2 linked regions of the Sus scrofa genome follow. The protein of the gene in region 1 binds, or shares a complex with, the protein of each later gene. Links are inferred from orthologs where the notes say so. Each region holds a gene or a part of one and is shown on either strand. Other genes may lie near its edges.

Region 1 (3,649 bases):
TTATTGATGAGACACTGTCTTTGAATTTAGCTGAAATGATGGTTTATTTTTCTTTTTCTTTATTTATTTTAGCACTTGGCTGTTTTATTTCCTCAATGATGGTTTCTTTTTAATGTAATACCTCAATTATTGTCCTATTCAAATGGTACAGTAGACCCATGAGAGCTGGATAGGCCCAAAGTGAAAGATTTAAAAAATATGAATCTGGAAGTTCCTGCTATGGTGCAGTGGGTTAAGGATCCGACTGCAGTGGCTTGGGTCTCTGTGGAGGCTTGGGTTTGATCCCCAGTCCTGTGCAGTGGGCTGAGGATCAGGTATCGCCCGCAGGATTTGATCCTTGGCCAGGGAAATTCCATACGCTGTGAGTGTGGCCCATATATATATGCATATGTATGTATATACACATACATACAGAGTATGTATGTATTACATATGTGTATGTATATACACATACATACAGAGTATGTATGTATTACATATGTGTATGTATATACACATACATACATAATACATATATATACACACACACACACACATGCACATATATATATAAATCTGCACTGTGCTGTTGAAAATACCACCATAGGAATGGATCCAGGTATTCTGCATTTTACACAGGTTCATGAGCTCTATTTGAGAAAAAGAATTTCAACTGTGAAATTCTTCCATGGCGCCCTAAAGTTTAATCTTCATTTATTTCATGGTAAAAGAACTCCTAATCCGCTGTTTACGTTGGACTATAAATAAGCCCACTTTGGACATAGAGCCTATTTACACTTCTGCCTAAACGGTAAGATTAAAAAGATTGCAGTCCCTAATCCCCACGTGTGGGAAGCACCTCCAGGGATGCACACATCTGTATTTGGAGTGGAGAAATCTTTATTGTGAAGATTTGTGAAATGTACCATTGCTGCACAAAATATGTTGAGAAAAGCAGCAGCAGTTAAAGACTGAGAAACTTCTGGAGATAGTTGTTCTGGAGATAGTTGTCTTCTGGAGATAGTTGGTGAGAGGTTATTTAATGGAAAAATCTGACCTTGGACCTACCCCACGCTGGAGAGACATGAATGAATTCATGGCATAAAAATTGCTCTTTTGGTGCATAGCTGCATTTGATGTTCTGAATTTCTAAGAAAAAACCATAAAAGCTAAACTATAATATCTCCTGTCTCATGTTCAGCCAGCATCTCAAACTATGTGAGAAAAGGAAAGAGCCTCAACTCCCACCCAAACTTTCCCTGCCCCCAGTGTGTGCATGGGGAAAAATCTGTCATTTACAAATCAGGAGTTTCTGTTCCAGGCCTCAATCCAGAAACAGAGTAGATTATATCTGGATTTTGGCAATAATCCACCAGAATTAGCCTGAAGGTCACAGGAACCTGAAGGAGCATGATTCCAATTTGCATTCATGCCCACAGGAAGCATTCTTTTTGAAAGGAATTTTCTAAATAGTAAGCCCAGTCTTAAAAAAAAAAAAAAAGAAAAAGGACCTTTAAATTTAAAATTATCATTTACACACTCACTTCCATGTGTCCCATAACTTCTTTTTCAACTAACAATCGCATCGGTTTCATGGAGCACCTATTATGTGCTGAACAATTTGCTTCTAACATTCACTGGACAAAACATGTATCGTGAGTCTGTCGTGAAGCTGAAGGCTAAGCCTATGAGGTTTTGGTCCTGGGTCTCTGAGGGCAGAAGCACCTCTCTCAACAGACTGTACATGATCATCCAATCTGTGTCACCTTCGGGGGAGATACTCCTGGCCCCGCCTCTGTTTCCTCTTAACCCTTCGGAAACTGAAAAAAAGCTCAGACTCTAAACACTCCATCACATTCTAGAACACAGGATCTCAGTGGCCATGTCCACCAGCTGGAGGAAGCGCAAATCACTTACATTTTTTTTTTTCTTTTTAGATTACTTACATTTTATACTGCACAAAATAGATGCTGCTGTTGCTGGTACAAGCCCCTCCAGGCTGCCAGTGCAAAATGTTGTGGAAATTTCGGGACTGAAAATGGACTCGTTGAGGTTTCAGAGACTTGTAGGCTGGCCGAATTTCTAAAATAATAAGAAAAGGAACAACACTGAACCTTGATAGGAGCACCCCCTGTTATTAGCAATAGTTGGCAATGTGGTACCTGCATCAGGATTCCCTGAAGGACTTGCTATGAGTGCAGGTGGTACAAGTGAAGCCCGGAAGTCAATGCTGTGAATCTTTGATATGATGGTTTTGATGCATGAGAAAGTTCCAGAACAGTTATGTTCCAGACTCTAAAAAGTTTGAGTGATAAATTCCCACCCCTGTTCCCAACCTGGAGAGGGAGTCAGAGCAGTGAAAAGAAATGGTCCTTAGTCCCTTCCTTGGTGGTGATGGAATGTGGTGACTGAGATGAAAGGCCCACACATAGGCCGTGAGCCTACCTCTCTAGGAGGCCCTGCATTACCACTCCACCGAGGCAATTCTGCCTCCAAGACCTCAGCCTAGGACTTGTTCCTTCTTTCTCCATCCCTGGGCCCATCTGGATCCTGACTCATCATACTCCATCTCTCTCAAATGACCTGGATTTATTGCATGTAGATGGTTTCACTCCTGAATGGATGCTCTTATCTGCCTGCATCCTGGTTGCAAGTGCCTGAGCATACTTGCTGGTCCAGGCGATGGAGGGAAGCTGCCCAGTGCTGTGGGGTCCCTGTTTTTCATAGGAGTTTCAACAGGAATCAGTAAGAAGGGGGATAACTTCACACTGGCATTCCTTGAGTTTTCTTGTTCAATTCACCCAACATGGAGGCTCCATCTCATCTGCATTTAGTCCATTGGAGGCGAGAGACCTTTGACAAAATTTTGGCCTAGATTCTGAAGGAAACCAGAATACTTTACTCCCCACTATGCCTCTTTGACATAAAAATTATTTTGAGAGGAAGGCAATTAAGAAGGAGCAAATGCGGAAAAAGCTCTCTTGACTTCCCCCCTTTTCTGACTAAAGGCAGGATATAAATTCTCCTTTTACTGGAGAAAGACTCTGATCAGCCCAGAGAAGGCACCAGAAGAATCTGCAAATGAAACTTACTTCTTTAGCTTCCTCCCATATATTTACTCTCCCACTGACTGCCCACCCTTGGAAGCCTAGAACTTTCCTTTGGTCTATCCTGCTTTTTTTTTTTTTTTTCAGTTGGAGAGGTTCTTTTTATTAGCTAGATTTTAGAGTTGCTTAACACTCAAAACTGAGGTTTTAAATTATGATTTATTTTATTCTACCTTTATCAGAGTATAGTCGATTTACAGTATTGGGTCAATTTCCAGTCATACATATAGGCACATTCTTTTTCTCATACTATCTTCCATCATATTCTACCCCAAGAGAATGGATATAGTTCCCTGCACTGTACAGTAGGACCTCATTGCTTATCCATTCTAAATATAATAGTCCTGTCCTGTTTCTGCAGATGTATTGTTGTTTGTTGAAGATGCAACATAAGCTGGAATTCGAAGCCATCATCTTGAGCTTCTCTTAGGTTAGTTTCCCCTGGTATTGTGAGATGCATGTGTTAATGAAGTGTTTTTCTCTTATTAATCTACCTTTTTTGTTAAAGAACCCAGTTGACTTTTTTATGGAATAAAATTGACATTTAACATTGTGTAAATTAA
Region 2 (4,120 bases), on another chromosome or scaffold:
GGGTGGGATTCCAAAGAGAAGACCTATGTTCTGTTCTGCCTCAGAACCCCCGGCATGGGGGAAGTGGGGGTGGAGGTAAGGAGATTAGAAGACCAAAGTCCCTGGCCAGTTCTAGAATTCTCTGATTGGCAAATTTTAGAAATTTTGATTTATAAATAAATAGACCTATCGACACACATAAACACCTAAATAATCAACTCAATGGCAGGGGAATTGAGTAAAAAATCGTGATGTGGGGAGATAAAAAGAAAGGAAAGGAAAGAAAAGAAAACACTTGTCCCTTCTAAGATCAGGTGAGTTAGCATTAAGAGTAATCAGCAGTACCTTTTTCACTGTGTCTTTAAAGTTGTTCACATTTCTCTGGATATGCTGGTCATCACCCTTAATACGCTACAAAAGGAAAAGCAGAGTGACGTTTTAACATTGTTAGATTGGAGCCTTATGAACCTCAGCCTCCCTAATTGAGGTATGTTCCAATTCACCTGGAATTAATGTTCTTAGCAATTTCGCCCACAATGACCTAGATTTCACCAGTGACCTAGATTTTCTGAGCTCTTGAATTCCCTTGGACACCAAAATCCAGTCATTTCACTTACATGGGACCCCAGTTCACAGGTTCACCTTTGGGAAATGCTACAGAGGCTGAAGGGTGTGGAAAGTGGTTTATGCAAATCCTGTCAAGAATAAAACCATAACTGCACCTCATCAAAAAAATGTGTGCTCAGAACAAGAAAGATACACAAAACATCTTATGTGAACAGCAGGCCTTCTGCAATAAATACTAGGCCCCCTCTGCTCTGCTCACTCCACTCAAACCTTTTCTCATGGTCTTAAATGTTCAGAGGCATCAAGCTCACATGCCTCTGATTTCGGCACTTCCCATATCAAAAGAGCAGCGTCTTTGCCCATCCGTCACCAAGAATTAAATCTTCCCTTTCCTCTTCCTCTCATTCTCATCCCCTCCCTCCATCAACTTATACCTGGTGGGTCCACTCACACCAAAAGGCATTTTTCCCTTACAGTGCTCAATGCGTTTCTCATCCCACATAACCTGAGTTGCTTTTCCCCCCAGGGACAAATATCCATCATCATAAACTCCAAAATGTGGCTCAACTAAAGCAAAAGCAAACTGTGATTCTGAATGCTCGCTGGAATGGTGTTGCTGAGGCACTTATTGCTGCCTGCACAAGGAGGGGCAATGAGGGCTGGAGAGTAAAAGGCTCTACACAGAGGAAGGAAGGGAGGGCAGGCCCTCGGGGTGGGTGGACTCAAGCTGGGAGAAGAACTTACGCATTGGCTTAGCTTTTTGCTGAGGCTGTCCAGGAAGGACGCCACCTCCTGCATGTAGGGGTGGAATCTATCAGAGTTGGGGAACAGCACTTCTTCAAGGGTGAAGTTCAGGACCTGCTTCACCAGGTAGCAGCGCTCTCTCATCTGCTGATGGAAGGGAAACAGCGGGGGTCACATGAGGCAGCATGCAGAAGCCCCAGCCCATCACCACCACGACTCCAAATAAGCACAAATAGCATCACGGTGATGGCTTACATTGACTCCCTGGAACAGATTATTCCCAATGAGACGAACGTCTGTGTTGTTATCTGCCAAACTAGCCTGGAAGGGAAGAAAAGACCTAAGTTCCTGGGCATCAACGCATTAGAAGAAATGTCTGTAAGTAAAGTTGTACTCTATCTCCTCTCCTCAGAGCAGCACCAAAAAGACTAAAGAAAGAATTCAGACGTGTGCATCAGTTGGAAAAAATGCTCAGGGGTCGGGGGAGGGATAAATTAGGAGTTTGAGATTAACAGATACACAATACTATATATAAAATAGATAATGAACAAGGACCTACTACACAGCACAGGGGATTCTACTCAATATTTTGTTATTATCTATAAAGGAAAAGAATCTGAAAAAGAATCTATGTATATACATATGTGTATACATATAAGCACACACACACATATATATATATATAACTGAATTGCTGTACTGTACACCTGAAACTAATGAGACATTGTAAATCAACTATATTTATATTAAAGAGATAAATAAGATACAAGGGTATAATGTATAGCATAGGTAATATAACCAGTATTTTATAACCACTCTAACTGGAATATAATCTTTAAAAATTGTGGGTCCTTACATTGTACACCTGAAACAAATAGTGTAAATCAACTAAACTTCGTTTAAAGAAAAAAAAAGGATAAATGTCAATTTTCTCTTCAAAAAATAAAAGAAAATGAAATAATTCTCCGAAGAGTAAAGGGAAAAATGAATAATCAGATGGGCTGCTAAATGACTCCTTTTCGAGTAAAACTCAATATACATATTCTAAAGGCCAAAATAGAAGGTCTTCTGGTAAAGCTCCACCTCCAAAGAGTCTCAGAAGAGCCATAGAACATGATGGCTGGTCTAGCAGTAGAGATAAATGTTGGTTTCTTAAAGATCTTAGACGTGCCCTGAAGAAATGGTAAGAACTCTTTGGGTTCCAGGTAGCTACGATGTGAAGGAAAGAGAGACTGAGCTGAGTACCTCCTGAGCAAGCGTGAAGGTGCGGTTGGTGATGTAGGGCTGCTGGAAGTTGGACTGGTCAAGCTTGCAGTGATGAGTGATGGGCACAGCCACTCCTCCCTGTGCCCACAGGGCGAGGAGAAGGAGGCAGCTGGCGGCCAGAGTCTCCAGAAGGAAAGGGCTCCCAGATGTCCGCAGGGCAGCCATGGCAGACGACACGAACTTGAGCAACTGGCGACGAGGGAAGGAGAACCTGGTATCAAGGGGACAAGACACAGAAACAACACAAAGGGAAAGAAAATTAAGTATCGAGAAAGTACCACACCAAACAAACAGGTCATGCCTAGTTTGCTGGAGCACTTACCTGTTTCGGTGATTCTGCTTGTGATGAGAAGGTAGAAGCTGCTGCTTTTATAGCCCCCAGGACACCAAATTGTGTGTGTGAAAAAACATGACATCAGCATCATCTAATTTCCAGTGCTGTCTTCTGAGAATTACCTAACCACCATAGGAGCCCACAAAGCACCACCTCCCGTCCTTCCCACCTTGTTACGCTAGTGTTTCCCTAAAACGTCACTATTAGGGTGCGGAAGGTGCTTTTACAGACAAATCCCAGAAATTGTCTAAACCCTACATATTTTCAAAGAAAACAATCGTTTTGTCTTTGTAGATTCCAGATTTAGTATAATAGTGTTTGATCTCCTATAGTAAGTGAGTAAGCATTTTGGTCACGGTCTCGTTTTCCTACCAGCTTCATAGATTCTTATCTCATTAGAGGAGATAAAAAATAAGGGCCCTATATCCTCTGCTTTAAAATAAACAGTAAGGACAGCTTGGAGATAATTCCATTTTTAAAAATAAGTTTGCCTCCTGTTTTTAATATGAATCCTGAAGAAGATGTACCTTTAAAAAAAATAGCAGGGTTGGCTAATCTCGGCACCATTTTCCTCCTGTTCTGTGACTTTAAGTGACCACAATAACTATACTATACCTTCATTTTTTCATTACATGATAATCAATATCAATTTAAGTTTGGAAGAATTAAGGCTGACCATCTGATCGCTATTTTTCTTAACGTGCAAGTGTGTTAGAATATAGTAGATATAGTAGTTCCCTTAGAAATTTCACCTTCATTCTTTGTAAACAACACAGGTCTCAAAATGATATTTCTAAACATCTTATAATATTTTTTATTTTATATATATGGAGGTCTAAAGAAGAGAATCTGGCAATTGAGTGGTTACATGTGAACTTCAAATTATTAAAAAGACATTGAGTTCTAAATAACATCTCAAAACTAGACAGAAACCCTCCTACGGGGTGGAAGCAGGGGACAAGGGCATTGATCTATTGCTAAGGGAAGGAATGGGAATTTTGCAAATTCCTTTGATCACATTTGTCTTCTCACAATGAGTTCAAATCGGAGCATTGAAGAAGGGATGTGAATAATTGTAGAAACTTGAGCATTTTGTGAGATAACACAGGCCTAGGCGAGGAGACACAATGAAGGGTTAGAACAGCATGAAGACATGAGGCGTTTGGGAAAGTGGTCTTAGAAGAAAGATGCAAAAGGGAAGGTTAGGGAGAATAAATAAAAACAAGACCT

What was found.
Region 2: the proteins of IL22RA2 (region 1) and IL22 are in contact, whole or in part, in a crystal structure (PDB 3G9V), measured with the Homo sapiens proteins. The link is inferred for Sus scrofa from reciprocal best matches to the Homo sapiens genes IL22RA2 and IL22. Residues at the interface, in NP_443194.1 of Homo sapiens: Lys65, Ile66, Tyr99, Gly100, Gln101, Arg102, Trp104, Gln128, Glu129, Pro130, Tyr132, Met148, Pro150, Arg151, Thr153, Trp155, Trp156, Glu157, Glu200, Pro246, Met247, Leu248, Asp249, Arg250; in NP_065386.1 of Homo sapiens: Phe47, Gln48, Pro50, Thr53, Asn54, Phe57, Met58, Lys61, Ser64, Leu65, Asp67, Asn69, Thr70, Asp71, Val72, Arg73, Leu74, Lys162, Gly165, Glu166, Asp168, Leu169, Met172, Arg175, Asn176.

What each region holds. Positions count from the first base shown.
Region 1 is NC_010443.5:27,076,401-27,080,049, reverse strand, and holds part of IL22RA2 (interleukin-22 receptor subunit alpha-2), read right to left. Parts: intron 2,062-3,649; coding exon 1,926-2,061; intron 1-1,925. UniProt on the Homo sapiens protein: Isoform 2 is a receptor for IL22. Binds to IL22, prevents interaction with the functional IL-22R complex and blocks the activity of IL22 (in vitro). May play an important role as an IL22 antagonist in the regulation of inflammatory responses.
Region 2 is NC_010447.5:32,601,589-32,605,708, forward strand, and holds the start of IL22 (interleukin-22), read right to left. Parts: upstream 2,920-4,120; 5' UTR 2,879-2,919; intron 2,768-2,878; 5' UTR 2,722-2,767; coding exon 2,536-2,721; intron 1,612-2,535; coding exon 1,546-1,611; intron 1,438-1,545; coding exon 1,291-1,437; intron 391-1,290; coding exon 199-390; 3' UTR 1-198. UniProt on the Homo sapiens protein: Cytokine that plays a critical role in modulating tissue responses during inflammation. Plays an essential role in the regeneration of epithelial cells to maintain barrier function after injury and for the prevention of further tissue damage.